Arabidopsis thaliana: one gene and its partners. The protein of the gene in region 2 interacts with the protein of the main gene of each other region in a pairwise test. Each region holds a gene or a part of one and is shown on either strand. Other genes may lie near its edges.

Region 1 (7,947 bases), about 22 Mb from region 2:
TGGTGTTGTTAGACAGAGTATATGCCGTATATTCTTGGAGGTCTCACCATAGCCGACATTGTCAAGTTTATTCCCAGATTATGGAAAAAGTCGCAGTCTTGTTCCAAGAACTTTCCAAACCCACATTGAACCAATGCTGAGTGAGAGTCTTTTCAAATCTCTTGGACATTTGGCCAGCCACGGTCATTTGCACGACGCTTTCAAAACGTTTTCTCTTCTTCGTCTTCAATCTTCTTCTGCAGTTTCAGATGACCTCGTTTTGCATTCCGCGGCTTCCCTTTTATCCGCTTGCGTTGATGTTCGTGCATTTTTAGCAGGGGTGCAAGTTCACGCTCACTGTATTTCGTCGGGTGTCGAATATCACTCTGTGTTAGTCCCAAAGCTGGTTACCTTTTACTCTGCTTTCAATCTCCACAATGAAGCTCAATCGATTATTGAGAACTCTGACATTTTGCATCCCTTACCTTGGAATGTGCTCATTGCTTCGTATGCCAAGAACGAGCTTTTTGAGGAGGTTATTGCTGCTTACAAGAGAATGGTGAGCAAGGGAATCCGACCCGATGCCTTCACTTATCCGTCTGTTCTTAAGGCTTGTGGTGAAACACTTGACGTTGCCTTTGGAAGGGTGGTTCATGGTTCCATCGAGGTTAGCTCTTACAAGTCCAGCTTGTATGTTTGTAATGCATTGATCTCTATGTATAAAAGGTTTAGAAATATGGGTATTGCTCGGAGGTTGTTTGATCGAATGTTTGAAAGGGATGCTGTCTCATGGAATGCAGTGATAAACTGTTATGCTTCGGAAGGCATGTGGAGTGAAGCGTTTGAGCTTTTCGATAAAATGTGGTTTTCAGGTGTTGAGGTCAGTGTCATAACTTGGAATATTATTTCTGGAGGTTGTTTGCAAACAGGAAATTATGTAGGAGCTTTGGGTTTGATCTCTAGGATGAGAAATTTTCCTACGAGCTTAGATCCTGTGGCTATGATTATTGGTTTGAAGGCTTGCTCTCTCATAGGAGCAATACGATTGGGAAAAGAGATTCACGGTCTTGCTATTCACAGTTCTTATGATGGGATTGACAATGTTCGAAACACGTTGATCACAATGTACTCAAAATGCAAAGACCTTAGGCACGCCTTAATAGTGTTTCGACAGACTGAAGAAAATAGTTTGTGTACTTGGAACTCTATCATTTCCGGTTATGCGCAGCTGAACAAATCAGAAGAAGCCTCTCACCTGCTGAGGGAGATGTTGGTTGCTGGCTTTCAGCCAAATTCCATTACACTAGCAAGCATTCTCCCTCTTTGTGCTCGGATTGCAAACCTGCAACATGGAAAAGAGTTTCATTGCTACATCCTGAGGCGCAAGTGCTTCAAGGACTATACAATGCTGTGGAACTCCCTTGTTGATGTTTATGCAAAATCGGGAAAGATTGTAGCTGCAAAGCAAGTATCTGATTTGATGAGCAAAAGAGACGAAGTAACATACACTTCCTTGATAGATGGATACGGAAATCAAGGTGAAGGGGGAGTAGCCTTGGCCCTGTTCAAGGAGATGACCAGATCTGGTATTAAACCTGACCATGTAACCGTGGTTGCAGTTCTATCAGCCTGCAGTCATTCCAAGTTAGTCCATGAAGGTGAAAGGCTGTTTATGAAGATGCAGTGTGAGTATGGTATACGTCCTTGTCTTCAACATTTTTCTTGTATGGTTGATCTCTATGGCAGAGCAGGTTTCCTAGCAAAAGCCAAAGACATAATTCACAATATGCCATATAAGCCATCCGGTGCCACGTGGGCTACCCTACTGAACGCGTGTCACATCCATGGGAACACACAGATTGGTAAATGGGCAGCAGAAAAGCTCCTGGAGATGAAGCCAGAGAACCCGGGATACTACGTGTTAATTGCAAATATGTATGCAGCTGCTGGTTCTTGGAGCAAGCTTGCTGAAGTGAGGACTATAATGAGGGACTTGGGTGTGAAAAAGGATCCTGGCTGTGCTTGGATCGACACAGATTCTGGATTTTCACTGTTTTCGGTGGGGGACACATCAAGCCCTGAAGCATGTAATACTTATCCTCTATTAGATGGACTGAATCAGCTGATGAAAGACAATGCTGGTTATGCCATCAATAAGGTGCAAAGTTCAGATGAAGAACTTCTTCAAGAAATGGGATGAAGGTGAAGAGCTGAGGATGATCAACTGGAGCTTTATTTAGTTAATAGCACATAGTCTATATACGCCTGCATATCACCAGACTGAGAACAAGTTGGATACACATGACAAGTTCTAGTATATACATTAACTAAAATTGGACAATGGTGGGGATTGCTGCGGAAGTATTTTTCCTATATAACACAAAGAAAACTTATATTGTGAGCTGATTCACTTCATCGAGCAAGAGCTTTGTAATGCCATCAGAATTGGTCGGCCAGTTGAGGAAATTTCTGCAGCAGCCAGGTAACTCCCTTTATAGCAGCCTGAATACACAAAATGCAAAAGCTGTTAAATCTTCATTACCTCTGCAATTTCAAACACATCCACACAATCAAAATTGATAGTAGCTCATGTTACCAGAACTGTTTCTCCAGGTTTGATTGCAGGCTCAACGCAGTCTCTTCCATATCTGCAAACAAAACAGAGAAGAAATGTTTATCCCAGCAAGACAAAAATTGGCATCTCTGTCAGTCTACACGATCTGTCGAGAAAAGTGTGCTTACACGATCTGTCTCTTCCCATCAATCACCTCTAACCGGTAAAAGCTGCAACCTTTGCTAAATGGGAAGTTCTTTCCTTTCCATTCTGTCAAAAATCTCCAATTTACGACTTATCATTAGAGAAACATAGACGACTAAATCATAAAGAGTCTGTTAAAAACTAACCTAAATGCCATGAAACTCCAACAGCTGAAGAGTCTTCTGTTGAGATATCATCTATCACGAATTGGAGATCCGTACTTGTTGATTCAATGAATTTTCCGAAGAAATCAAGAATTGCCTGTCATGGCTTTATCAAAATTAGGCTCTGAGACACAACAAAGTCTGAAAAGAAGAGACTTTGGTTTATTAGAATAATAATCGTTTCACCTTTCGGCCAACAAAGGGAGATGAGAAGACGAGATCCTCGTAGACGCAGTCCTGAGCGATGAGGTCTGTGACAGAGGATAAATCATGGACGTTAACGGCGGCGTAGAAGCTGGAGACGACCTCCGACGCTGATGTCGGAGCTGTTTCTGGAACAACGTCGTTGGCTGTAGCAGCTTTTGCAGCTGGACCATAGGATGCGGACAATCTCGGAGGCTGTGAATGAGTGAGGCTTGTTGGCTTGACAAGTTTGGTTGGGAGGAAGAAGGAAGGAGGAAGATGGTTGAGCGAGACGAGTGAGGGAGACGTCAAATAAGAGACGAGAGAAGCAGTGAAGCTCATCGTCGTTTCTTGATATGATGTCTTCGTTTTTGTGGCTCATTTGTGTTTGTGATTAAGAGAGCAAAGAGTTGAATTTTGAATTTCAATTGGAATTTGTGGACAGAAATTCTTATTAGTAGTCCCTATGATTATCGATGCCATGTGGATACTGTAACAATCAATAGAAGTATACTCCAATCCTCTTTCCTATTAATTGATGATTTTTCTATCATCATTTCATCTTATTTGTTTGTGAAATGATACTTTTAATTTAGTTGTGAAATGAGATTTTATAATTTTTCGAAATATAAGACTAGGTAATGCGTAGCAGAACAGAAAAGTAAAGAAAAATATGTGTTGGTGGATAAAAAGTTGAATTGTTTTTCATAATTTTTAGATCAATGATATATTTTCAGTAAATTCTTGTTCATCGGTTCTCAAATCTACATAAAGAGAGAAGCTAAGCAAACATTTAACCCTATTTTTTAGATTTTGTTTTTTCACTCCTGAACATATAATGAATAAAGAGATGGTTATGAAAGACGTTTATAATAATCTTTAAAAAAAGAGAAAAAAATCGAATCCTTCATAAATCTTTTACATTCATAGATGGAACACAATAATTATAACATAAATAAAAACGAGAAAATCAAACTCAAGCCATGCACGTCACTATCGAAAAGTTCTCACAAAAACAACAACTCCAAAACATCAGCCATGAAGCGATATTTGTTGATGAGATGCTCTATCTCCTTGATAAACAAAACCTCACATTTTTCATTCAATTCTTTGGCCTTATTATCTCCAATAAGCTTACCTTTCTCCAAAATATACTCTTCAGAAATAAATTCTTTGACCATCTCCTTACTTAAAAACATCTTCAAAGATGGATACCGAGCCCAAAACTCATCTTTAATACCATTAGCCTCAGTTTCTGTAACAACTATTGACATAAGATTTTTTTTTAAGAAAGTATTAAAGATACGATACAAAAACTATCTTAATCACTTTTAAGATTTTTATATCAACGTAATAATCTTGAAACCTCACAGTCAAACAGAACATGAACATGCAAAGTATTTCTTAACAAACGCTCCAACTTCTTTACAGTGGAAACATGTGAAATGGTGAAGTGAAAAATCTGAAATAAAATAGAGAGTGATGCATGCATGTACCTCCATTGTTGTTTTCAGAGTCTGATGGTTCGTCTTCCATTGAGTCGTCGTCTTCCGATGAGTTGGAAACTTGGGAGTCGCTGAGTTCTTCTTCGGATGATTCAGGTTTAGGTGGAGAGTTGATCGTAACCGGCACCATCGTCGTTAAGATTAAGTTCGAAGAGACTAGATAAAGTTTCTAAAGAGAGAGATAGAATCGGACAAACAAAGAGTCGATATGTGAACAAGTAGAAACATGATGTTTATTTATACAGTATCGTCGGGAAAACGAAGAGTCAATTACTTTATTTAACTGAATATTTTTAGTGACAAAAATATGAAACGTTTTTTTTGTAACTTGTCCAAGTTGACATGAATTGTTTTTAAACGAGGAAGATTGAAGCAACCACCAAAATAAAAGCCAATAAATTCTAAATACATGCTTTTTTTAAAAACGAAACCGTGTGTGAACTGATGGGCTACAATTGTTTTGGGGGCCCTAAGCCCATATTTCAATTTTCTGGCCCAAATATTAGCTTTCAATTTCAATTGCATACTTTATAAAAATAGTTTAAAGCTACATATAAATACTAACGACCTTTAGCTTAATCAAGTGGTTAGTGGTCACAATGGAAGTAGTGTCGTCTCTCGGAATCCGAGACCTCCCGGCGTCCCTCTCCGTGACGACGAGTCTCAACCACCGTCCTCATCGTTCCGATAAAGATGGCGCTCCGGCGAAATCTCCGATTAGACCAAGCAGAACTAGACGACCTTCCACTTCTCCCGCCAAAAAGCCGAAACCTTTTAGGGAAAGAGATGCTTTCCCTTCTTCTCTTCCTCTCCACTCCAAGAACCCCTACATTATCCACAGAGATATTCAAATTTTTGCGAGGCAGAACAATCTCGAAGTCGCTCTCACGATTCTTGATTATCTCGAACAGAGAGGGATTCCTGTAAATGCGACAACTTTCTCTGCTCTTTTAGAGGCGTGTGTTCGCCGGAAGTCGTTGCTTCACGGTAAACAAGTCCATGTTCATATACGTATTAATGGGTTGGAGAGTAATGAGTTTCTAAGGACCAAGCTTGTTCATATGTATACTGCTTGTGGTTCGGTTAAAGATGCACAGAAGGTGTTCGATGAAAGTACTAGCTCAAATGTTTACTCTTGGAATGCGTTGCTTAGAGGGACTGTTATATCAGGGAAGAAGCGGTATCAAGATGTTCTTTCTACGTTTACAGAAATGAGAGAGCTTGGTGTTGATTTGAATGTTTATAGTTTATCTAATGTGTTTAAGAGTTTTGCTGGTGCATCTGCTTTGAGACAGGGATTGAAGACGCATGCACTTGCGATTAAGAATGGTTTGTTTAATAGTGTCTTTCTTAAGACTTCTCTTGTTGATATGTATTTTAAGTGTGGTAAAGTAGGGCTTGCACGTCGAGTTTTTGATGAGATTGTAGAGAGAGATATAGTTGTTTGGGGGGCGATGATTGCTGGATTGGCTCACAATAAAAGGCAGTGGGAAGCGTTGGGACTGTTTAGGACGATGATTAGTGAAGAAAAGATATATCCAAACTCAGTTATACTTACAACGATTCTTCCCGTACTTGGGGATGTTAAGGCACTGAAACTGGGGAAGGAGGTCCATGCCCATGTATTGAAATCGAAGAATTACGTGGAACAGCCGTTTGTTCACTCTGGTTTGATTGATTTATACTGCAAGTGTGGGGATATGGCTTCTGGGAGACGTGTGTTCTATGGATCCAAACAGAGGAATGCCATATCTTGGACTGCATTGATGTCTGGATACGCAGCCAACGGTAGATTTGATCAAGCTTTGAGGTCGATTGTTTGGATGCAGCAGGAAGGTTTTAGGCCAGATGTTGTTACAATTGCTACTGTTCTTCCTGTTTGCGCAGAGCTGAGGGCTATAAAGCAAGGAAAGGAGATTCATTGTTATGCTTTAAAGAATCTCTTCTTGCCGAATGTATCCCTGGTCACTTCCTTGATGGTGATGTACTCAAAGTGCGGTGTTCCAGAGTATCCTATCAGACTGTTTGACAGGTTGGAACAAAGGAATGTGAAAGCATGGACCGCTATGATTGACTGCTATGTGGAAAATTGTGATTTAAGAGCAGGGATTGAGGTATTCAGATTGATGCTGTTATCAAAACACAGGCCAGATTCTGTTACGATGGGTAGGGTTTTGACTGTTTGCAGTGATCTCAAAGCATTAAAGTTGGGGAAAGAGCTTCATGGGCACATTCTGAAAAAGGAATTTGAGTCGATCCCATTTGTTTCTGCAAGAATCATCAAGATGTATGGAAAATGTGGAGATCTCAGAAGTGCTAATTTCTCTTTCGATGCTGTTGCTGTCAAGGGCTCTCTGACATGGACCGCCATTATAGAGGCTTATGGATGCAATGAACTCTTCAGGGATGCAATAAACTGTTTTGAGCAAATGGTATCAAGAGGGTTTACTCCCAACACCTTCACATTTACAGCAGTTTTATCTATTTGCAGTCAAGCCGGATTTGTTGATGAAGCTTATCGCTTCTTCAACTTGATGCTCCGGATGTACAATTTGCAGCCATCAGAAGAGCATTATTCACTGGTCATTGAACTTCTCAATCGGTGTGGTCGTGTTGAAGAGGCACAAAGACTTGCGGTCATGAGTTCCTCGTCATCCCTACAGACCTGACTGCAGATTCAGACATCTTCTTTGCTTTTTCTCAAAGCCACCAAGTAAGTTGCTCGAAGAGTTATGAGAAGTATATTCTGTTCTCTTGTTTCCAAGAACTTGCATTAATAGTGCTGTATATACTGAATTTGGTTCCAGAATGATTGAATTTTGTTCAACTTGTAAAAATCTTGCAGTATCAAATGTAGAGTTTTCTTAAGATTAGTTAAGGGAAGAAAGTCAAGAGAGAACACAAGTCTAGTAAGAATAAAATATCTTATAGCTTTCAGGAAACCATTCAATATTATATCAAATCAAATACATCAATGAGGTAACAAACAATTGTAAAAAATAATAATAAGTCACACCTCATAATCTATGTTTCTACTAGTAACAAAAAAATTTAAAAATATTTGTGAAGAGGTCCTTTCAGGGACCCATCAAGCTCATAGAGTCTTTCCCTCCAAAATCTGATGAGCTTTATTCTTTGCTATAACGTCAGAATCAACAACCCTTGTGGTAGACTCTGAAAACTAAACTTCAATAAATTTAAGTATTCTAAGCCAGTAACTTATGCTGGTATTGTAAGATTGAGCTGTAGAAGCTCTCCATGAGTTAGGTTTTGGGGTTAAGGGTCCCAAAGAAAGTCACTCTGGTATGTTTCCCAAGCATTCATCTCCACATCATTAGCAAACTCCATAGGGTCGTAT
Region 2 (8,094 bases):
AAACTTTTTTTTTTCTTTTTTGACTAGTAAAACTTGAACACTACAATAATTATCTTAGACGAGATATATGAATTTTGGTTTGAAATTGTATCGATGGAATATAATTAGTGGGACAAATAAAGGACGACCTAGACGCATTTCCACGAAATATTATTTAGGAATATATAGTAGTACTTTTTCATTGGAATATAATTATACTTTTTCTGTTCTTCGAACATAACATTTCAGTTAAAAACTGTACTGGAAAGAAGAGGATGTATGTTTATCTGAATAAGCTGAACAGATAAATTAGGAAAACGAGAAAGCTGTCGACAAAGTGATCTAGAGGTTCACGGAGCACGTGTTGACGCACGTGGGAGTATATCTTTGCACATTAAATCATGAAATTAGTGTATTAATACCATTGTTATTACTAGTAGTTTATTACCGAGATTAATGCATTACTTATTTGTTGTCCGTTGACCAGAACTGATATGGTGGGTGGGCTCTTTTATCTCATCGGAAAAAATATTATTCGTCCGTTCTCTTGGACGTGTTGGTTTATCATAATTTTTATTCATCTACAAGTGTTTTATCGTTTAGCTGATGGCCTTTTTCAAAGCATGAGATAAATCTAAATGTAACAAATACTAAAAGATTAGTAAGACACTTATTATTATTATGGATAAAGGTCTTGATCGTACCATATGTTATCTTTACATATTTCACGCATTGATTAGAATTTTGATAAATCATCGAAGCTTAAGTCGCGCCGAAAGATTTTAGCGTGCAACTAAAGGATTATTATATTGCGAGTTGCATCTTGGCAGCTGTAATCCACTCATTAATTGCCACGTGTGAAGGCCATCTTTAAACATTATTTGGACGGTAGAAAAGAGCTTTATCAGTCGTTAGAATTTGTGAGTAATCTAATCAAATCATTTGCATATCTATCTTTCTAAACTGTGTTTTTTCTCTTATTTTGTTATATCTATCTTTTTATTTAGTTTTTGCTTTATCTTCTTAAGGCGAGATGTATGGTATCGTTAACAGTTAACACGGTATTTTGACTATTATCCAAGCTCGTGAAACCTTTTCATAAGTAATTCAAGGTGCAATGAAAATGAAAAAAAAAAAAAAATCGTTGAAGTTGACATCGTATAGAAGAGGTCTAAGATCCATATTTTATGTACTACTTTATAAATAAATTACAAATTTAATCTTTGAGACATTGTGGTGTTAATAATAACCATTTTGTATTTACTGAATTTCGATAATGTTTGTGACGTATTGTTCTATCAAAGTTTCCAAGTTTGATAAGATTTTTGGAGTCAAAGGTCAATAACTATGAATTTAAAATTCCGTTACCTTTCAACGATATTTATCTAATACTATCTCAGCAGAAATGCAGTTACCCTTAATTAATAAAAATATATATATATTCTACAGAGCTGTTTGTATTTTCATATGGTAAAGTTTCATTATCTTTTCGTTTTCAATGAATATTGGTTTTGACTTTTGACCACAAAAACAAAATGAATATTGGTTGGAGAAAGGTTAAATATAAATTTATTTATTTTTGCTTTCGAATTTTCTTCTAAAATTATCGAATAGGTGACTGTTTTTTTTTGGCGTATCTTATTAGTGACTTGTGTCTGAAAGTGAAGTCCTAAGAGCTGTCCACGTGATCTGTTTGTATTGTGTGTTCACATTCCTTTTCTTTCCACATTAATCTCTCTTATATTAAGTGTCTTAATTGATGACTACATTCCTAATTTATATATGTGAAAGTGTTATTAAGAATCTGAGTATTGTGTTACATAAGAATGGGTATAAGATTGCTAAAGAGAATCCCCAAAATTTTGTTTGTATTTATTTTCGAGTAGTTGATATACCTTCTCATGTGAGTTACATTACTTTACGAGCCATTATCCGACGCGTGAAAGCCCAGGCTACATCTGTATTCACAACTGAGGAAAAAGACAAAATTGCCAACAAAAGTATTAGGTTGAAAATTGATCATTACAAGTTGCAAGTTGCAGCACATTACAATATTTTCTTCTCATTACAAAAAATATCGAAAAAGATTTTTTGTGTGTGTATTTGAATAGCTGTTATACCAGCTAATTGTTTTGAATTATCCGTCGTAAGGAGATAACGTGGTGGCTCCTAATACCTTTACTTCTTCTTTTCTTCTCTTTTGGCAATGCCTTGTCATTCAAGTCAACGTCGAATTTCAACACGTGCTCTTCGTAAACTCAAGATTACATAGATTTGAATGTAACTAACTTATCACATCTTATATCTAGTCTTCTAAATTTTGCTGTCTATGGATAATATAACATAATATATGGTATATAAACAACACATTATGATAAATATCTTAAATACATTCACTTTAATGGGATCGTATGAAAACATTTTGTGTTTCTTTTGGTCATAATTGCAAGTTGAAGTATTGGTTAATGCTGACCATCAGGCAAATACGAAGAGTAAACAATACATGATTAACATCTAAGAATTGTTTGTTCTGGTTTCGGCCGTTTTAGTTTTCGGTGGATATGGAAAAATGTGTAGAACAAAAAGGTTCAGAACTCCAGAATTCTACCACACAAAAGAAATTGTTTCAGGTTTGACGCTTATAATTTATGATTTGTGGAACAATGACAAAGATTATCATCGACTAATCTTAGAAGACACTTATTAAGAATCACATATGAAAAAAGCTTACTAGATACAAATAATATAATAACAATAAACAAACTCTATTAACAATAGAGGAAAATTGGGAGATATCAACTTGGAATGTGATATTTGAATCGACTAATCGAGTCAATTAAAGACAAAGAAAATTATGATTTAAGAAAAACAGGTGAGTTTGATAAAACACGTTGTAGTCTTGTTGTAGATCTCCGAATTGACGTCAACTCAATATCAAAATCTTTCACTATGAAATTCAAAATCCGAATCAAAACGTCTAACCTAGCTATAGAATATATACATTAGTCAATGGTCAACCTTTTATATTTTATTGTTATAATCATATATGGTGAAGATAATTGTATTTGGAGGACCAATATTCAACTATTTCCTGTAATTTAGAACATTTATTTTTTTCTTAAATATATGTTTTTTGCTTATATATAGTCGCAATTTTTAGAAGTTCCATAATCCATATACTTGAACTTCTAAAGCTATAGTCGCAAGCACCTTATTGTTGTTGTTTAATAAAAGTTCTAATTTTGGTAGACAAGTGAAAAAACAAAATTAAACTATCTGGTGTTTACATATATGAAAAATATACATTTCCAGCAGTGAATTTTGGTTTTGCATGAAAAATACATAAATAGCAATTCACTGCAGCAGGGGTCAGAATATAGAAACATGAACCACACACATAAAAAAAAAGTAGATTCTGACTAGATCAATCTGAATTAAAAACTAGTAAATTTTGACAGACGGACGTGGCCGTGGAAAGAAGTAGAAAGAGACAATGAGAGATGGAGAAAGAGAGACGTAAGTATTGATTTGGCCAACGGCTCATATGCAAAGAATATTAATAATAATAATGTTCTTTGCGTTTTTTTACCAATTACATCAAACATTTGTTAGGCACACGTCTTTTCTTTTTCTCCTTTTTAGTTAAGGGCATCTCCATCCATGAAAAACCCACAAAGTTTCTCAAACAAAAAAAAATTAATATTATATTATAATTTGATTTTTTGATTAAAAAAATATTTTTATTAAAAAGTTGAATCAATAATTAAAAGGGAATTATCATGATGGATTGTAGAGAATATCTCAGAGTTTCTCAAGTAAGAAACTTTCTACTCTCTCTCCTTCATTTTTATTATTTTTATTTTTTAATTGTGAGAAACTCTTATAAAAAACCCCCAATGAAAATGGTCTAACTTTCTTTTCCGTTGAATTTCTCTCATGTATTAACAGTAACATAAGTATTTATATCACATACACTTGTCAAATTTGTCTCTTTAGAGATTTTAAAAAGTTATCACTTAGAGAACTTTTACCTGTTTGGACTTTGGACGGTTAGACAGATAATATCTAAAATTACTCCAATTTTTATATATACATGCAATACTAAGGTATAAAAAAGGTTCTAGAATGTTAAAATCGTTGCTGAAAAAAAACAAAATCGTCTATAGATTGTTAATTTTTGCTTCTTGTACAAACACTTAGTAATGATTAATGATTTAATTTTAATATGTAAAGACTGATTTTTAAAATAAAAAATAGCATAAGATGAAAATTTATGTTTCAAAAAATATTTGTGATTATGGGTTGTTTGAGACTGGAAAATAATCAAACAACATTGGGCCTTTCATGTAGAATTTTTTATTACATTTAGAACCGTTAACGATATGGGCTAACTCAAGACATTAAAGGCCCAACATTGAGTTACTAAACGGCGCAGTTTTTAGCTTTTTAAAATTGCGTCTTTTTCGTTCACTGAAAAGGTAGTCCTTCTCTTTCCCACTCACATCATCAACTTCATCAATTCATCACCTTTGTCTCTCTTTCAAGCTTCTCTGTGTGTGATCTCCGTTGGTCAACAACAACTACAACAGGTAACTTCTATTCTTCGATTCCTTAAATTTCTTCTCTAGAGCTTAGTGAATCAACGATTTAGGTCTGAACATATTTGGCAATCTGTCCTTGCTCAAATTTCGCTTGAAAATTTCAATCCCAAATCATGTAAAGCTAAATCGGAAAGTTCTATGTAGTTCCCAAAGTTGAATCACGAACTGGAAGTAATTTAATTTATTGACTTAGGATATGTTGAAATTTTTAGGTTTTTTGTTTTGTTTTTAGCTTATTGAGCAGAGATGGATCATCAATTTGGATATGGTGTTGAAGTTACTGGGTTATCTCCATCTGTTACTCATAATGATCTTATCGATTTCTTCTCTTTCTCTGGTACTATCCAAGATATTGATATTGTCAGGTGAGTCTTTTTACTTTTTAGCAAGTTTGTTGTTTGTTTGCTTATTCTGGATTCAAAAGAGTACACTTTGTAATGTTGTTAATGAGACTAGGTCGGGTGAGCAAGCTTGTACTGCTTATGTGATGTTTAAGGATTCTTATTCTCAAGAAACTGCTGTTTTACTCACTGTAAGTGTTAGTTTGGATTTGATTCACTCTTTCTATCTTTTTTGGATGTCTCTTGAGAAATCACTCACTTCTTTGATATCTTCAGGGCGCAACGATATTGGATCAGCGTGTTTGTATAACTCGTTGGGGACAACATCACGAAGAGTTCGATTTCTGGAATGCGACTTCGCGAGGTTTTGAAGATGAATCGGACTCACAAGTATGTATCGCTTTTGACACTTCTCTCAACTTTGATCTTTCTGTCTTCTTTTTTTGTTAAAATAGTTAAATCTAACGGTCACTGGTTCAGTAGTCTTTATGTTGAAGTTTGATGCTTGGTCTCAATTCTAAAGCTTATTCGTTCTTCAATCATGTAGCATTATGCTCAACGAAGCGAGTTCAACGCTGGAGAAGCAGTGACAAAAGCTCAAGAAGTGGTGAAAATAATGCTTGCCACAGGATTCGTGCTAGGCAAAGACGCTTTAAGCAAAGCTAAAGCCTTTGATGAATCCCACGGCGTATCAGCTGCAGCGGTGGCTAGAGTATCTCAACTAGAACAGAGGATTGGTCTTACTGACAAAATCTTTACCGGACTTGAAGCTGTTAGAATGACTGACCAAAGGTATCATGTTTCAGATACAGCTAAATCAGCTGTCTTTGCCACAGGAAGAACCGCGGCAGCAGCTGCAACTAGTGTTGTCAATAGCAGTTACTTCTCCAGCGGAGCTCTTTGGCTGTCTGGTGCATTAGAGAGAGCTGCTAAAGCCGCATCTGATCTCGGTACCCGCGGCTCAAGGCAGTGAATAGACCAATGGCCCGATTCAGAACCGTATTCGTCTGTGAATATATATGATGCAAAGCTGATCATGAATAACTGGCTCATGAAGTGTGATAAGACCAAATTTTATCAAAACGAATACCATATAGAAATCTATCAAAGTATACTCTCACATGATGATGCTGATATAGAGTTTGGTTACATTACCTACATCTTAACTCTTCATTAGTAGCATAATCTTTTTTCTTATATAATTTCTGATTTATATCATTCTATGGTTGATATTGATTCAATATTTGGATAGATGTTGTATCCATAGAGCTTAGGCCACGTGGCACAATTTGCGCCAAAAAATCAAATCCAAAAAACAGAGAAGTCATCATCTTTTCACTCCAAATCTTCCAGTCACTCAAATCATTCTCTCATGGCAGCTTCTTCCTCAATTCCGCCGTCAACCGCCGTAACCTCCGTCGTTCGCAAATCTCTCCTCCTCTCAACCACCTTCTCCTTCCCCGCTTCTTCATTGTCTCCCTCCACGAAACTACCACAAAGACACATTCAAAGATTGCTCCTAGCTTCCTCCTCCGCATCCGCATCCACCGTTCCTTCCGATTCCAAACCGGCGAAGAAAGAAACAGTCTACTTCGACGGCGGAGCTCATTACGGAGATCTATTAGCCAATCTCATTCTAGGTCTAACCATCCTTTGGCTCCCACTAACCTTAGCTGCAGTGTCTCGAGCTTTTAACCTTCGTTACAGGTTCACTAACCTCCGCGTGACGGTTATTTCGGGACTCACCGGAGATGATCGGAGCGATTTCTCGTACAAAGTGATAAAAGACGTTCAAGTTGTGCCGAGGTTCATCGGAGAATGGGGAGATATCATCATTACTTTGAAAGATGGAACTAAAGTGGATTTGAGAAGTGTCCCTAAGTTCAGAGAGATTGCTAAGTACTGTTTATCTATGGCTGATCAACCTGCTGTTTTGAAAGAATCTGGTGCTAAAGGCTTTTGATTATTTCTCATTTCTGGGCAAAATTGATTCTTCTTGTTGTGATTTCTTCAGTACAAATCGAATCCTTTCCATGTTCTTTCATTTGTTATTGATTTCTTCATCTCTGTATTGTTAAGACGATCGTATCTAAACGGCGCGCGATTTTAGCTCTACAATAAGAAACGGCGTGATGTTTGGTTAATGTTGAAACGGCAGGTAGTCCTCTTTTAGATTAGAGAAATGGCATGGATATTAATACTATCTTCTTCTTTTTTATTCATATGGCTGCATTTTAAGAATATAGAGGATTAACAGCCCAAAGTTTGGATTAAAAAAAAAACAGCCCAAAGTTATTTATTAATTATTCAAGTTCAAAATAGCGTCAATTATCTTTAATTTATATACACGTTTATTTATTTCTACTTTTCTAATAACCAAGATTCATCATAAGCAAATTAATCTCTAAAAAGTAAAAACTATCAAGTTTATACAAATGGGCAAACGAAAATGTATAATTTGAATAATGTGCCCACATTAATTTCTATACTCGCATATGAAAATATGATTACGTTTTTTATGGGATAACGGATTCAAATACAAGAAATGGGATTACATATTCAATAGCTTCCTTTGTTAGTACTTTAATTCTAGTAGTTCAAAGACTAATTAATAAGAACTACATATGGTCCTATCTGTTAAATTTGACCATATTAATCTAATAATCTCCATTGGATTCCACTAAAATTTGTTAAAAAAATATTAGTAGAGAATTTCGTAAGAGAAGGTTGATGAGTATGTATAGGGAGTCTTATTAAAGCTTCTGCCTCTGACACATTCTCATCAAATCTTATGTAGTCTTCCCCATTTCCCAATTTTGACCATATTATTCTTGTTTTTATTCTTTGTTTATCATACCCCGTTGTCTTCTTTCATTGTTTATCCTATACGTTTTCTAATCACATATAGGGTGTGATATGGTGAAAGCAAAAAGATGTGGGAGTAAAATAAAAATAGATTTTGGCGTAATTATTTCTGTCCATTTTCTCTAATTGTTTTGTAGCGGAAAAAATTATAAAGTTTTCGACACTTTCAGCTCAAACCTTTTTTTTTCCTTTTTCTGTGAATCATAGGCGAATCTAGAGTAATATTTTATTTTACTCTAACAAATATAACCAATAACACCCATAGTTTTTATATCTCCACTCCAATGATGCACTATTTTTAGAGAAAC
Region 3 (7,928 bases), 2.2 Mb from region 2:
TAATATAAATTTCAACTTTACTCATTCTGAAAAGGTGTGGTCACGACTTTATATATATAATCCCTAGTTTTATGGTAATTATTGTTGATAATACCTGAGGTTAAAGGGGGATGTATGTGGAAATTGATTGATTCTTTATCAATTTCATGGATATATAGAGTTTGTGTATACATAGAAGCACATGTATATACATAGAGTGAGTAGTAAAAGATATATAAATTCCATCTTGGGATATAAAATGGTAACTTTTATGGTGCTGAGATAATTCTGAAACTCACTCATTCCAAAGAAACATTCTTTGCAAAAAGCAAAGGCTTCCAATGAATAGTTCACTTGGGTTGTTTTTAATACTTTTTTTTTAATCAATGAGAAATCAATGCTCGTGTCTTCTCTTGTCAGCCACAAAACTCATAATCCGGTTGAGTATCATGATTAATAATATGTCACACTTTTATGCTGCTGATCGGCTCACTATTTCAAAGAAAATCATAAGCAGCGTGAAACGGGACGGTCTAGTTTTGGTCGATACCGTTTTACATCAATGATGCGAATTTGACAAAAATATAATTTTTTCTCGACGGTAGGCACATTTTTATGGGGGAAAAATGGTACATAATGAGCTATTATTTGTCTATGATATATAACTACCAGTTCGGTCGTGTATTAATTTGCAGTGATCGTTATCAAGATTCGAATCGAAACCATGGGTTGTTTTAATAACATGGGCGATTTGACTTTGTCAACGCATACTCGTTTTGTGAAACTTTTGTAGTATGTGGTCTACATAAACCATGCATTCTCTTAAAAGATAAAATATTATCGTATATGAACTCTTTTAAGTGACTACTGAATATTATAAGAAAAACGTTGTCTCTTTTGATTAAATGTAATGCAGAATAGCAATTATAAAAGTAATGCTATAGATATTTTGTTGTATAGCTGTGGTCAACTTTTGCTAAAAGAATGCCACTTTGGAAAAAATGACTCAAGCATTTAGACCAAATAGCAATCACTATAGTTTTCACGTCAACATCAAATTTCTATTCAGTATTACGTACTAATTATAACTTCATTTTCTATTTGTCCAAAATGGACACTAACTCCGCAGCTGGTGGCTATGTTTAATGATAAGCATCTCGTAGAGATCGTATATCCACCACTCCCGACGAAGGGTTAGAGAAGTGGGGTCGTCTCCAATGTGTGACAACAGTCTTAGAGACACTTACGTACACCTTCCATCGTCCATGCACAAATATTTTAAGAAAACAGGAAAGTAGAAAAGCTTTGGATATATGATTTTGAATTGAGATAGGTATAAATATAGTAGTAGGAGAGGGAGAGGAAGAGAGGGAAGAGATGACATTTTTAATGAAGGGTCCAAAAGAAAAACAGAATCTGAAACGTCAAATCATGTTAGTTGAGGTCTTTGGCTGTTTGTGCCTCTGACGGGTCTTGTCCACACACTTTAATGTTTCCTTTTCTTTCTTTCTTTTTTCACTGCCTTTTTTCTTCCTTCATTATTATGTTTTTTTGCTTCAATCTTCATTATTACCGTTTTCATTATCCTTTGTTTGTTTAACGGTAAATCTGTTTCGGAACAATTTAGTCTAATAGCCACAAATAAAAGTAGTGTAAAGAATGTATTAGTTAGTTAGATATAATTAGTTATATATAAATTGCCAAATCAAGTCCATAACAAATTAGAAACGTGGATACACAGCTTTATCCTTAATTTTGTTTTTGTTTTAATTAGCTTACATGATTGCATGTGACACATAAATGACAAAAAACAAATTTGACATAAACCATACTTTAAAAATAATAAAATTATGTATTAATGATGTTATTGGTTTAACTGATTTTTATTTTAGAAGTCTACACTTTAAAGTTTAATCCCTACCTCCAACATCTTTAATCCTAACAATCCTATGAAATTGTATATGCTTAAGCAGTTAACCCTAACACTGTGTACCCTTACGCTAATTTAAAAGATTCTATGAAAGTACTTCTAATTTTATATTATTTTTAGCAATAGAATTTCATAACATTAATTTCTATGCTTTATAAACATGTTTAATTCTAGATATGGTATAACTATATTTCTTAAATTGTTACCCTAAAGTCGTATAAATGTGTGTAAAAAAAAAAGTCGTATAAATGGTGAACAATTAAATTGCAAAGATGAAAGAACACAAATTATTCACGTGGCCAGCCCAGCCCAGTAATTGATAGATTTGTTGTTTAAGCCCAGCAATTAGTATCGAATCGAACCAATATTCTGAACCGAATACATCATGGTTACACGACCGACACCTATAAGGTTGTCTTCTTTGATGATCAAACCTAAAGTCCGAAAAAGAAAAAAAAGAAAAAAAACCCGAAAAACTTTAGCTCATTGAAAGACTAATTGACTAAAGACATGGCAAAAAGGATACTGTATTTAGTAATTGTTTGTGTTTGAATTGATTACGTCAAATATAGTTTGATAACGAGATGCATATTGCAATCCCATAGCCAAACTAGAAATATACAAATTTGAATAGAAAAAGAAACGAACTAAGGCAAGTCATATACGGCAATGAAGGACATCAATACACTTCCCATCCAAAGCTTCCCATCTTTCTCCTCCACTTCACTCACTGCCTTCACCACTTTCCCTTTACTATCTTCCAACACCTTTAGCACTTTCCCTTCTTCACTGTACTTCACAGCTACAGCATGAGGCCAACCACCTACCTGCAGCAAGTACTGAAACTTCACTGATATCGGCAGCTTCAGAAAGAACTTCCTCACCCTCGGGTAATGCGCCATCAAGTGTGTGAATATGTTTCTGTGGCAGTGCACCGCCACCCAGAAATCTCCATCTTTGTTTGTGCGGATGTTGTCTGGGAACCCATGTAATAGAGCTACCACTTCTGACGTTCCAGCTTTCTCCCCTTTCAACCAGTATTTCCGTAATCTGAACAACAACAACAAAAAATGACTTAGATTCTGTTCACAGTATTGGAGTTTGTTTCTAGCAGAATCATTGAAACGATATGGAAACAACATGCTAATCGTTCCATTTTAGCTTCAATCAGAAATGCTGATTGCAGAAGTTATGCCAAGTATATATACAGACAATGATGTGGAAGTCAGAGAGGAATTAAGATGAAGGACTCACCTTCCAATAGATCCTTCACAAAAGATGAAAAAGGAGCCGTCTTTGCCGAGGGATAATCCGTTAGGAAACTGGAGATTTCTCACGAGAGTGGTAGTCTCCTTTGTTTTTGGATTGTATTTCAACACCCTCCCACTGTCTTCCCCCGAGACAATCAAAAGCATAAATTTCCTACAAATAGCGCAATCAACATACTCAAACAAAAGTAGTAACTAGACATCGGAAGCTCATTGCAACTTCTTGTAGATCCTCAAAAGATAAACAGAATTCAACATTTAAGGCTCTGAAGTTATAGCCGCAGTCAAAATTTTCAATTTATGTGCCTATGACAGATCATTTCAATCAATATAACATGAGTTCCAAAAAGCAACACTTTATGCAAGCCACTGATCAGGAGAGTTAGTAAAGATCAAAACTTTAAAACCTTACATACCTTCGTTGGAAGAAAGAGCTGCTATCAGTAAAGTAAACATTGCCTTCATCATCAATGTCAAGATCATTGGTAAATCTCAAAGGCACACCATCAGCCTCGTTTGTAACAGAAGTTGCTAAACCTCCTTCCGGACCAACTTTCATTATCCCCAAATACGCATCTGCAATGTACAAATCCCCATTTTTCTTGTCGAATCGAAGACCTAAAGGCCGACCACAGATATCTTCATCCTTTAAGTAATCCAAAAGCGATGGCTTAGGATCACATAGCTCTGACCTAATAAAACATCAAAGTTGAGAACTTTACTGGAAACGAAATGGTCACAAAGACTCGATTGCAATCACAAGACTCACCGATTGTTCGAAGTATATGCGAAATCTGTCCAACGAGTGCCATTCCAAAAGAGAATTCGACCGTCGGCGACTCCGGTATAAGGACCACGACCTTGCGGATCGAAAGCAATGCTCTCGGGACCTTGAACCTCGTTAAGAAACCTGATCTCTGAATTCTGCAACAGATTCTGGCGGTCTCTCTCCTTTGGAAGTGACGATAACGGAGGCATGTCAATCTTGTAAGTTTTGAAATCCGGGAACTTGGAAATGGAGCTGTGACTGAAGGGATCGATAGCGCAATAGATGGCAAAGACGAGAAAGATCTTCGCGAGTATGCTCATGGCCATTTTCTTTGTACGAGGGATGATGATGATGATTTGAAGAAGAAAATGGTTGGGGAAGTTTTAAGGTAGAGAAGTAGAGAAGAAGTAGTTGCAGTAGAGTACACTTTTCTGGTTGAAAATTTAAAACTTTTCTCAATTGCTGCTCTTTTTCGATATATTAAGAAAAGTCAAGGAGCAATTGCAAATCGGCTAATCTGATGGCAACCCGGTATTAAATTAAAAAAAGAAACATGAAAACCGGGTGAACCGGATCGACCTTCCATTTTTTCGGTAGACCAGTTTTATTTATTCTGCAAATAATAATCGTCTTCAATCAGAGAAAAAGTTTGCAGTGAGAAGGAGATTGATTAATCGATCTGAGAAAGATGGGAGATTCGGAGTCATTTGTTGGGAAAAATTGGAATGGATTGAAGGATTTCTGGAGTGATAGGTTATCATTTTTCGAAAATTACACCAGATTCACCAAACGCGACGCGCCTCTTCCTTCTTGGTCTTCCTCCGACGTCGAGGAATTCATTGCCTCCGATCCCGTTCATGGACCCACCGTAATTTCCTTCTATCTTTCTCTCGCTCTGTGTTTTGGAATCTATAGATATTGTTGGTCCATTATCTATGACTCGGCTGGTACTCGATTTTACTCTGCTGTCATCGGTTTATTTTTTTCTTCTTCATTTGATTTTCCATTGGAAAGTTTCTGTTACTTTTTGATATAATAAAGTTCCACTAGGCTAGGTTTTTCTGGCTTTAGTCCTTGGAAGCACAGATACAAGAGGACTAAGCCCACTGCATCGTCGTCGGATGGCATAAAAAACCTAGCAAAAACTGAACTGTTGGTTTGGTATTTGGTATTCTTACTGAAGATCTTACGTTTGGTACTCATTGTGTATTTGTGGTCATCCTATCCAGCTGAAAACGGCTAGGGAAGCTGTGACGTTTGGTGTTACCGGAGCTGCACTTGGAGCTGTCTCTACTGCTGCTTTTGCCTGGAAATACTCCAGGAGTCCACATGGTAATGACATTTCTCTCTCTGTGAATAACTATTTGCTCTTTATAAACCTCACTTGTTTCTTCAAACGAAGACACAAAGCTTGCAATTCAGGGATAATGGGATTATTTGGGAGTCAATTAGACCTTTATGTCCTATATTGATAATACTTGGAAACTGGTTTGAAAGTTTATGCAGTTCTCATGGCGCTTACATTGTTTCTCAATACTAAATTGCTGTTTATTTTTCTTCCAACTTTTGACACCTCTAAACTACTGCTGGTGCGACAGGTGCTGCATTGTCCTTCTTAGGAGGAGGTGTTTTTGGTTGGACCTTTGGGCAAGAGGTCGCCAACCACACACTGCAACTCTACAAGTTGGACACAATGGCAGCCCAAGTTAAGTTCATGGAATGGTGGGAACGTAAGTCTCAATAAAGGTCCTGAATCTAAAACGAAGACGTGTGCTGCTTTCTCGTCCAGAGTATCTTCTTGGGAACAACATGAAATGCTGATTATCCATCCATTTCCAGACTTTCGCCTTTGAAACTTTTTCTATTCTCACTCTTGGAACATGTTTGCCTTGTCTTAATAATACAACATGCCTCATGAATGTTTTGAAGATTTGAGAAAATGAATTCAAAGAAACCAAATGGTCTCAAAAGAATCAGGGAATGACGACTACCCCAACTGAGCACATATCGAAACCTTTCCTTTGATGATTCATATTAGTAACTTTTCTTCATGTTGAGTTTGTTTTTTATGAAACTTACAAATTAACAACGAAGCATTTGCTTTCGTGTGTATTCGTACAAATATGATCAAGTAGAGGCCTGAAATTGTTCATGACTACTGTCGGTCTATTTTTTCATACAAATTGCTAACTACAACACAAATTGCCCTTCGGACTTGAAGAAACAAAATCCACTCCCATTGATCATATAAAGCAGATTTAAATAAGTAGCCTCTGAAGCAATATACCATACAAACCAGCCGAGAGATCCAGCAGGAAGGTGTTCCACTTATTTGAAAGAGTTGAAGAAGCTCACAGTGTCTGCCAGCGCAACGATGAAGGCGTCAACGTCATCCTTTGTGTTGTAAAAGTAGAGGCTGGCGCGTGCACTTGCATTCACTCCAAGATACCGGTGGAGTGGCTGTGCGCAGTGGTGTCCTGACCTTATTGCAACTCCGTGCTGCAACATACAATATTCGTTTTCAGTTTTCATCCCACTATGGATATTCTGATGAGAGAGTAAAGTAGGGGTTTGAGGTGGACGGTTAACATTAGAACGATCAAGATGAATTTGTTTAATCTAGATCAGTTAAAACTTCTTACAGCTGAACTCATTACTAATGTATGAGAATCACTCGGATCAAGTACTTGGACAGGTATCATGTAACCTAGATGATCTACGGGTTTTGTTTTAACCTAGTTATCAACAGAGTCCAGGCTCGTGTTCACACATGAGATTTCACCTAAATCTTGGAATAAAGAAGATCAACCTCAATTATAGGCTGCTACCACAAGATATCCTAAGGTAGGCATCTGAGATTCGCTTTGACCACTAAGTGGTAACATTACCCACTAAGAAGAGAAAGAGGTGGTAGGTAGTGCCCTTATCCTACTTGAGGTACTACCTCATATTAAAAGAATACGTTCAAGATAAGAGAAAACCAGTATGTGATGGGACAGATAGCTCCCAATTATAACAAACCTGCTGATCAAGAAAGGTTGCCAAATCAGTTGGGTGCAAGCCCTCCACATTGAAGGAACAAAGAGCACCCCTGTGAACACTTTCAGAAGGTCTGGGACCGTATATCCGCACATCAGGCAGGGAAGACAGTTTCTCGTACAAATACTTACCAATCTCTACCTGGATGACACAAGAAATTAAAATCTACAGTTAGAAAACATGTGAGAATCTCCGTGACTGTATGTACGTCATTGACGTCTAGTTGTAGGAAAATAAAATTAAACCTCATATTCATGGATTTTCGGCATGCCAATTCCTGACAAGTAATCAACTGCTGCTCCAAGGGCAATTGCTTCTCCTATTGCAGGTGTTCCAGCTTCAAATCTGATACAAACTTAAATATATTTATTTCTAAACTGCAGCAATTATGCAGATTAGTAACTAATATATGTAGAATCCCTACCTGGATGGAGGTTCCGCATAAGTTGAATGGTCAAGAAATACATCTGAGATCATTTCTCCGCCACCTAAAAGAGGATCGAAATACAAGGAAAAAAAGAAGTGGGACTCAGTCCAGTCCCATCCTTGATTAAACAGATATGATAAACTGTTTTCATAAAGAAATATTAGATAGACTGCTTACCTAAGAATGGAGGCATGGAATGTAGAAGATCACTCTTACCATATAAGAACCCAATGCCTGTAGGTCCACACATCTGAAGCATGATTATCATATTACTATAAGCTTGCCACAGGGCTTATTATGCATTTCATGAAGAAAAATAAACAATTCCAACCTTGTGAGAAGACGCAACTAGAAAATCAGCATTAAGCTTCTGGACATCAACCACCATGTGAGGAACACTTTGACAAGCATCCACTAGAACTTTCGCTCCAACATCGTGTGCCCATACCACAATCTCTTCAATAGGAAGAGAAGATGCTAAACAAAAAGAAACATAAGTTAGATACTTACCTTCTT
Region 4 (7,384 bases), on a different chromosome or scaffold from region 2:
CCAAGAACACCGTCTTTAACCGCCGAGTGTAGATCTAAGATATGCCCATCAAACCCACCGTTCTTAGAAGGCTGAAACATTGGCATTTTAAAAACAAAGTCTTTCTTCTTCCTTGCCTTTAAAAACGAGTCAAAAAGGAAACTTTCAACTCTCTCGTAATAATAATGGAGCAGTGTATCATAAATACATGATTAATGCTTCCCCACCTGCTAACCAAGAATCTGGATTGTTCCAAGAGTTTCAGAATCGATAGTGAACCTTGAAATCTCGGAACAGAACAAAAAAGTAAATGAATTTGTGAGAAATTTAAGAATACCCAGATGACGAATTTGTGAAAGAGGAAGAAGGAGAAGAGAATTGGTTGTGGTGTGTGTTTCGGTGAGAAGGAAATTATTAAAGCAAAGAGACAAATTAAAAAAAGGGAACGTTTCTTTTGGTTTGGACCAAAGATTTTCTCTTTTTCACTCTTTTTGCTGGGAAAAAACTAAAAAGCAGACAAAAACCCAAAAAAAAACACAGATTATGTTGACCGAGATTTTTACAGGCTATAGCCGGTTATCAACTCATCTCTCGACCCATGCGCCACACGTGCAAGCTCAGATCCTGAGGTTAAATACCCATTTTGTCCTTGGCTTGACCCATATGTACCCATCTTTAGCTAAAAAAAAAATTGAGGTGTTTTTTTTTTAAATATTTTTAGACCAAATAATAAATCTTCATATTGATTTTGTGTTCCATTGAAATATCATGTTGCTTAAAAGAGCACTCTCTTGGGTCTTCCCTTTAATTTTTGCTACTGAAATCGATGTGTTGTCAAAAACAATAAAGTATTATCTCAGTAAATTAAGAAGAAAAATAGATGAAGGGGGTATTATGGTCTTTTAGACGATGAGCAAAGAAAATCCCGCACGTAAGTAAAAAAAGCTGCTAAGTAAACTACAAATACCCACGAGGACAGGTTAGGGTCACGTGCGACGTTCATTTCAAGGCCTAATTACTTCATTAACCTTTTATTTGAATCATCATTATCATTGCTATAAACAATTCTCTATTTTTTCAAACAAAAATCTAAAAATCTCGTTTTTTATAAACACTTTTCTTTACAGTCTATATATTCTAGAAACTATGAAGAATAATTGCAGTAATGAGTAAATACATGGAAAAACAAAAGCATTACTCTTTCTCGTTTCATACTATTGAAATGGAACATATTTGCTTAAACAAATCCGTAGTATTACTCCCACTTAATTAGAAGAATAACAACAATTTTTTCTCTGTAAGAACATATTTTTCAATTTTTAGTAAGTTTATTTCCTAGATTGGCACGAAAAAGAAAAAAGAAAAAGTGTAAATAAAGAAGTATGGGGTCCACTACATGCAAAAGATCCAGCTAGACGTTTGACCATATGACAGTGTGTGTTGCTTTGACTGTACGCCTCGATCGTGTCTCGGTTGTCTTTGACTGCTCTGTCACCACTTATATCCTTCCACGTCTCTCTTTTCGTTCCTAATCTTCGGTATTAATGAATGTTGTTAACTTTTATTAATACTACAAATTTAACTAAATGAAGATAAATTTTAATAAGCGAAAATTGATGGGAGTGTCAGCAGAGAGATCTGAGACCCATGTGTTGTTTTTGTTGGAGTTGAGTACTCTGCCAGAAATGCAGAATTTTGATATTCCAACCAAGTTTTCAAATATCACACGGATTCAATCTTAATTATGTGTTATTAACAAAAGTATGATTCACTCAACTAGTTTTAGTTCTACAATTAATTGCTAGTTTATTTTTGAATTCTTAGTATTTTTAATTTATAGAGTATGTTATCAATGGCTATTGATAGGCAATGAATTCATTGCCAATGAATGATCTCAATGTTGTCGATGTTATGAGTTTCCCGGTCAAACTAGTAAACTTAAAGCGGACCGGCAAGAGTTTTAAGTCGATGTGACGTGTTTGTAATAACGACTAAAACCATGTGAATTTTCATATTGATTGTGACGATAATACAATTAGTATTTTTAACTAATAAATGGCTGTTTGTATGTGCTAGAGAAGGGACCTAGTGACCATGACTACAGGCTGGTTAGGGTTGTTCTAAATATTGTTTGATGAACAGAACACATATCAGGACATTTATATAATTGTTGTGCCTAGAGTTGCCCTGCATAATTTTCAATTTGCTAAATTTGTTTGATTATTTAACTTAGAAATGAGTTATTGAGATTGTCGTATTTGAATAATTACATCACATTGCGCTTTGTATTTTGTTTCTAAGCTACATAGACTGTCACGTGAGTCCTAAACTCGTAGATTATTTAACATGTTGTTTCGCTATTTTTAGGTTAGTGATACAAATTATGATTAATTTTTCAGCAGATCATAATTTAACTTGATGAATTGATTTATTTTTCGGGATATATTCGTTTGCGAATTCATATAGTATCATCATGATAATTGGATAACATAGAACTCGATTCACGATATTATTGGGTCTAAAACTGAAAATTTTACCATGCCTACGATTATCAGAAAATATAATAATGTTTGTGTTGTTGGGCTGTGAGGGCTTCGAAATGGTACATCAAAATGCTGTACACGGCCTTCGTGAATGATAGGATTTAAGAAGCCCAATAAGCTATGCAAAAATATAAAGATGCAAAATCGAGAATTTTTATTGTCGTTGTTAAAGATGCAAATCAAAAATTTAATATATCTCGTCCTAGACATACAGGTTACAAATTGACTTTCGAAAACTTTATTATGTGGGGCAAGTTATAATTGGAAATTATAAAAGTGCAGATAGATATGTCAGCGATGAATTTATTGCTTTCATTTCAAGTTGCCAACAACATATTGAATCCATTGTCAAATATCTCTATAGAAACAAATCAAGTTGAAGCAAAATCTTTCTTATTTGACAAATTGGTTTTAAATTTTGATAGTGAAACTGGTAAATCAAGTCAACTGTAACCACCAATTTCTTATATACTCTCTTTTCCTTCCAATGAATCTCTCACTCCCCCTAAATCATTATTTCAGTATTTTTAATGCAAGAAATTTGGTGCCATATCTCAATCCATATTAATTATAATAATAATTTCGACTTTGATATTTTTGTTGTTGTACGCTTTGATAACGTGTTTAAAGACATATAGACGTGTACTTTGGCAATTGTTATTTGACTATTGAGCTTGTAAGCAAGTTTAAGCTTCAATGGATAAATACTTCAAGAAATTTCTAAAAAATTAATACTAATTAAAACTGCCGGCCCTTAAGATTACAACTTCAACCTTATTTTGACTTAACCAAAGTAAATTAAACTATAGATTAATATTTTGTGAATTTTTAATAAGATAAGTATCACCAAACCGTAAACATCCAACTAGATACATTTATATATACATACCCTAATAATTATTATTTCTGAAATGCATTTAAAACGAAGTCTATCATACACGGCATCTTCCTGTTCTAGTCGCATCTCCTCTCTCTCTCACTCTCTCTGTAATCTCTTATATCAACTTTTTTTTATTCCACTTTAAATCATGAAAGCTAAAGAAATGAAGAAAGAAAGCAATTTAGCAAGGTTGGTGAAATCTCCGGTTCGTTTCTTGATCATGGCACGTGACGCTTACATACGTAGCATGACGTCATGCTCCGCCGGTTTCATCCGCGGTGGTGGTGGCTCCGGCGCTTTTGGCTTACCACCCGGTAATTTCCAAATCTGCGAAGCACCAACCACCGTTCTCCCTCGTAGCTTCACCCTAAATTCGGCCACGACAACACGTGAACGTTGCCGGTTTGTCACACGTGGCGCCAGCAGCGGAGAAATCACGGTGGAGACGACGGCTATGAAACGACAGATGGATCTCCGGAGAAATTATAGTTGTATGGTTATGGGAAGGATTGATGAAGAGAAGGTTTGTGATCAGTTTGAAGAAGAGGATTATAGCAAAAAAAGAAAAATCGGTGGAGTTTTCACTACTCATCAACAATAAAAGAAAGAAAATGAAGATGACCATACTCATTTTCGTTTCTTTCTTCTTCCATTTCTGGTTAGATACAAAAACGCTAAACAGCTGAAAGAAATTCATTTTGTGTGCATTGTTCAAGTGTGCTTATAGACTTTCTTGCTTGTATATAAATTTCAGTACGGAATACACAGTCTAGATTGCAGACATAGTGAAAGTAGTCCTTCATTGTGTCAATTTCGACATTTTTGAGTTACGTTTTCAACGAACACTGAATTAGTATTAATGCGAGACAGATGAGAAATCATGGAATGAAAAAAAGTTTTATTCAAAAAAAAAAAGGTCAAACAAAAAGAGATTTTTTTTTTTTTTCCTTCTTCTAGGCATTAGAGTAGTCCTTCAACTTTACATCACCCAATGTCAACGTATGGATTACATTTGTCTTGCGTGTAAATCCTTAAATTTTACTGGTGAATTTTTGTTATTTCTCCAATCCACAAAATGGAATTTATAGTCTAGTTTTCCCTTAAATTAAAAGTTTGAATTTTTAGTCTCCGTATACCATAACTTTTGACATTATGGGGTTATCTTTATATGTTTGTATGGTTCTCACCAGCTTCATATAATATCTACGAATTTTTTTTTTTTTTTTTCATTTCTTGTAATGAAGATCTCATCAAAAGAGAGAAAGTTTGAGACATATAGGACTACTCTTCGATAGAAACTCTACTATAAAGCAGGAACTTCCTACAAAAAGAATGGTGAAAACCAGTGATACTATAGTCTCAATTTCACCTAGACGAATTTCATGTCAGCTTTCTTCAACTATCTGCCTCATCTTTTCGTGTACGATCTTCCTCAATATCCACCAAGTCTTCTTCCTCACCTTTTTTACCGGCTTGCTCTTTCCAGTATGCTACCAACTTCTTCAATCGCACCATCTCTTTGGATGATATATGTTTGCTGGGATCATTCACGATCGTTCTCACTCTCGATGCATATCTGGAATCAAAGGAGGAAAAAAAACAATATGGATTATCCATTTTTACACTAAGCATATTTGATTTATGTTATATATATATGGGAACTCATGACTTACAGAAGAGAATTGTACGTCTCGTCCAAATTTGATTCGGCTGGAGACACATTAACAAACATTAACGTCTTGGCATTGCCGCCCAATGAATCGCTCATCAACATCGTTAGCTTGTGATTCCTATAAGGAATATGCTGGTTGCCAGAAGATAAAGCACCAATAACATCACCTAATGCAGAAAGTGATTTGTTGATACTTTGAGCTTCTTTGAGTTGACAACCAGCTGAGCCCGACTTTTTAACTCTCTCAGAACCAGCAAGATCCACAAAACTCAGCTGCAAATAACAAACAAAAATTCAGAATATTGTAGAAGATACCACCATGATCAGGTGATATGGGTTTAACAATGGAGGGCATATCATTGACTAATAATATGGATTGTGTACATAAAGGTTTAACATTTTGTACCAGACCAAAGATTTGAGCTGTAAAATAATATCTCTCTTAAACAAGATTAATGTTACTATATTTTTCTTCGGTAGACTAAGCATGAAAATCTAAAGAAACTCCTATTTCCTTAAAATCCCTAAATGCTACTAAATCCTGTGAAAAATGATAATGAGTCAATAAAGAAAAACATAGTGAATTTTGTCACCTTGCCCCTCGCAGCAGACTGGGTTTGAAGATCAATACTTTCAATAACAACTGATAATATGAGGTGAGATCTTGAGCTTTCTTCATTCATATTTGTTCCAGAAACATGTCGTCGTTCCGATCCCCGTTCAAGAATCATTCGCAGTTCCTCCAAAGTTGATATAGGAATAGTTGTCACATTCTCTACAAAGACCATTCCCTGAGAAAATATTTTATGCATAAGATCAAACTTACGTGTCTACAATCTAGTTATAACCTAGTTAAAATAGATATATCTCACAATACCTTTGAATCTTTTTTAATCTCTAGTTTCAAGCGTCTTGCACTTTTTGGTAACAAAAGGTCTACAAGTGTGTCTTGATAAAGTTCCACCATATATGCCTGCATAACTTTTTGTAGTCAGTTGATGTCATAATCTTTTATCACATCATCTATTAGGATAACAAATTACCTTTAGAGAAAATGAAAATCTCTTGCTATCTCGCTTTAATATGTTGAACAGTTCCTTTGTAGCTCGAGGTGTGAGTCCAGGATTGCTCTCATGCCCATATATAGTGAAAGTTTTTCCAGAACCAGTTTGACCATATGCAAAGATGCAAACGTTATACCCATCTACAGCCGACTGTACCAAATACTGTTAAAAGGAAAACGATGTTAGTAACCACAAGAAAATAACAAAGGATGAAAGGTAAATGAACACAGTTACATATCAATAATACCTTTGTGTCTTCAAAGATATCATCTTGACTAGCACGCATGTCAAATACGCGATCATATATGTGTTGCTTTCTTTTGTCGTCTTTCCATGGATGTTCAACAGTAAACTCATCCACAGTTGTCAGCATTTGTTTTTCCCTCTCTGAACTCTCTTTTTCATTTAGAGGTCTTATTCGACAATAAACTCTAATCTTCCCTTTCATATCTACAATCAAATAAAAATGTTAGTAAAATTCTTTTTTAAAAGCAATGAACATCATTGTACATACTTGAGCATTATGTTACCTTCTATGGTATTATAGTATCTTTTCCTTAAAACTTGTTCTTCCTTATAAAGTATTTCTAGCTCAGCAAGTTGGGCTCCTTGCATTTTCAAAATGGCAGCTGTTTGCTCATTTTTTCTGTCAATGTCCTAAGAAAATGAAATTGGAATGTAAACACATCCCTCTACTTCAATTTTGAATCGCGAAAATACATTATCATCATTCAAACAGAAACAAAATTAAATAATGAAGAAGACAAAAGAGTACCATTACCTCTTTCATTTCTCTTAACTCCTCAAGTTCTTTCAAGTTATTTTGCAACAGCAGCATGTCAGAATTCTTACTTTCAATCGTAGACTCAGCACTATCCAAGTCTTGAGCAAGTACTTCAAGCTTATTTTCAAGTTCAGAAACTCGAAGCTTTAACACCTTTTTTTCTTGTTCATATCTCTTTTGATGAATTTCAACCTGAAATAATGAGATGTCAACAATACGCAAGTATTTGATACTTCTCAATTTGAAATCTTCAATAAATCTAATACATAGAATTCACCTCCTCTTTTTTCTTCTTTTCAATATTGAGATTTTGCTCCAATATCTTGTTTTCACTCAACAACCTCTTTGAATTATCAACTGCGACATGCAATTCCTTATTTCGAACTTCTAACTCCTTTTGGATCTTGTATAATATCTGTGACTTAAAATTCATTGTCAAAGGAAAGCAGAATTGGAAACAAA

Evidence for each region.
Region 1: the proteins of AT1G14340 (region 2) and AT1G71480 interact in a two-hybrid assay, tested with the Arabidopsis thaliana proteins (one large-scale study listed by BioGRID).
Region 3: the proteins of AT1G14340 (region 2) and SDH6 interact in a two-hybrid assay, tested with the Arabidopsis thaliana proteins (one large-scale study listed by BioGRID).
Region 4: the proteins of AT1G14340 (region 2) and AT5G65925 interact in a two-hybrid assay, tested with the Arabidopsis thaliana proteins (one large-scale study listed by BioGRID).

What each region holds. Positions count from the first base shown.
Region 1 is NC_003070.9:26,927,558-26,935,504, reverse strand, and holds AT1G71480 (Nuclear transport factor 2 (NTF2) family protein), read right to left. Parts: upstream 3,654-7,947; 5' UTR 3,427-3,653; coding exon 3,088-3,426; exon of another isoform or gene 3,038-3,087; intron 2,999-3,037; coding exon 2,884-2,998; coding exon of another isoform or gene 2,879-2,883; intron 2,804-2,878; coding exon 2,722-2,803; coding exon of another isoform or gene 2,718-2,721; intron 2,628-2,717; coding exon 2,576-2,627; exon of another isoform or gene 2,482-2,575; coding exon 2,419-2,481; 3' UTR 2,192-2,418; downstream 1-2,191. Other genes in the region: AT1G71490 (Tetratricopeptide repeat (TPR)-like superfamily protein), read left to right, coding at 134-2,179; AT1G71470 (uncharacterized protein), read right to left, coding at 4,092-4,348, 4,581-4,719; AT1G71460 (Pentatricopeptide repeat (PPR-like) superfamily protein), read left to right, coding at 5,189-7,258; AT1G71450 (Integrase-type DNA-binding superfamily protein), read right to left, coding at 7,866-7,947.
Region 2 is NC_003070.9:4,892,883-4,900,976, forward strand, and holds AT1G14340 (RNA-binding (RRM/RBD/RNP motifs) family protein), read left to right. Parts: upstream 1-4,463; 5' UTR 4,464-4,568; intron 4,569-4,812; 5' UTR 4,813-4,826; coding exon 4,827-4,945; intron 4,946-5,036; coding exon 5,037-5,112; intron 5,113-5,197; coding exon 5,198-5,311; intron 5,312-5,468; coding exon 5,469-5,894; 3' UTR 5,895-6,153; downstream 6,154-8,094. Other genes in the region: AT1G14345 (NAD(P)-linked oxidoreductase superfamily protein), read left to right, coding at 6,294-6,884.
Region 3 is NC_003070.9:2,679,706-2,687,633, forward strand, and holds SDH6 (succinate dehydrogenase subunit), read left to right. Parts: upstream 1-4,470; 5' UTR 4,471-4,634; coding exon 4,635-4,814; intron 4,815-5,175; coding exon 5,176-5,278; intron 5,279-5,544; coding exon 5,545-5,690; 3' UTR 5,691-5,997; downstream 5,998-7,928. Other genes in the region: SSL3 (strictosidine synthase-like 3), read right to left, coding at 2,557-2,959, 3,164-3,331, 3,594-3,869, 3,947-4,272; CPNIFS (chloroplastic NIFS-like cysteine desulfurase), read right to left, coding at 6,275-6,445, 6,968-7,126, 7,231-7,330, 7,410-7,473, 7,590-7,662, 7,744-7,889.
Region 4 is NC_003076.8:26,365,572-26,372,955, forward strand, and holds AT5G65925 (uncharacterized protein), read left to right. Parts: upstream 1-3,473; 5' UTR 3,474-3,550; coding exon 3,551-4,003; 3' UTR 4,004-4,283; downstream 4,284-7,384. Other genes in the region: AT5G65920 (ARM repeat superfamily protein), read right to left, coding at 1-86; ZWI (kinesin-like calmodulin-binding protein (ZWICHEL)), read right to left, coding at 4,798-4,978, 5,076-5,347, 5,668-5,865, 5,952-6,047, 6,118-6,300, 6,386-6,588, 6,669-6,795, 6,920-7,114 and 1 more.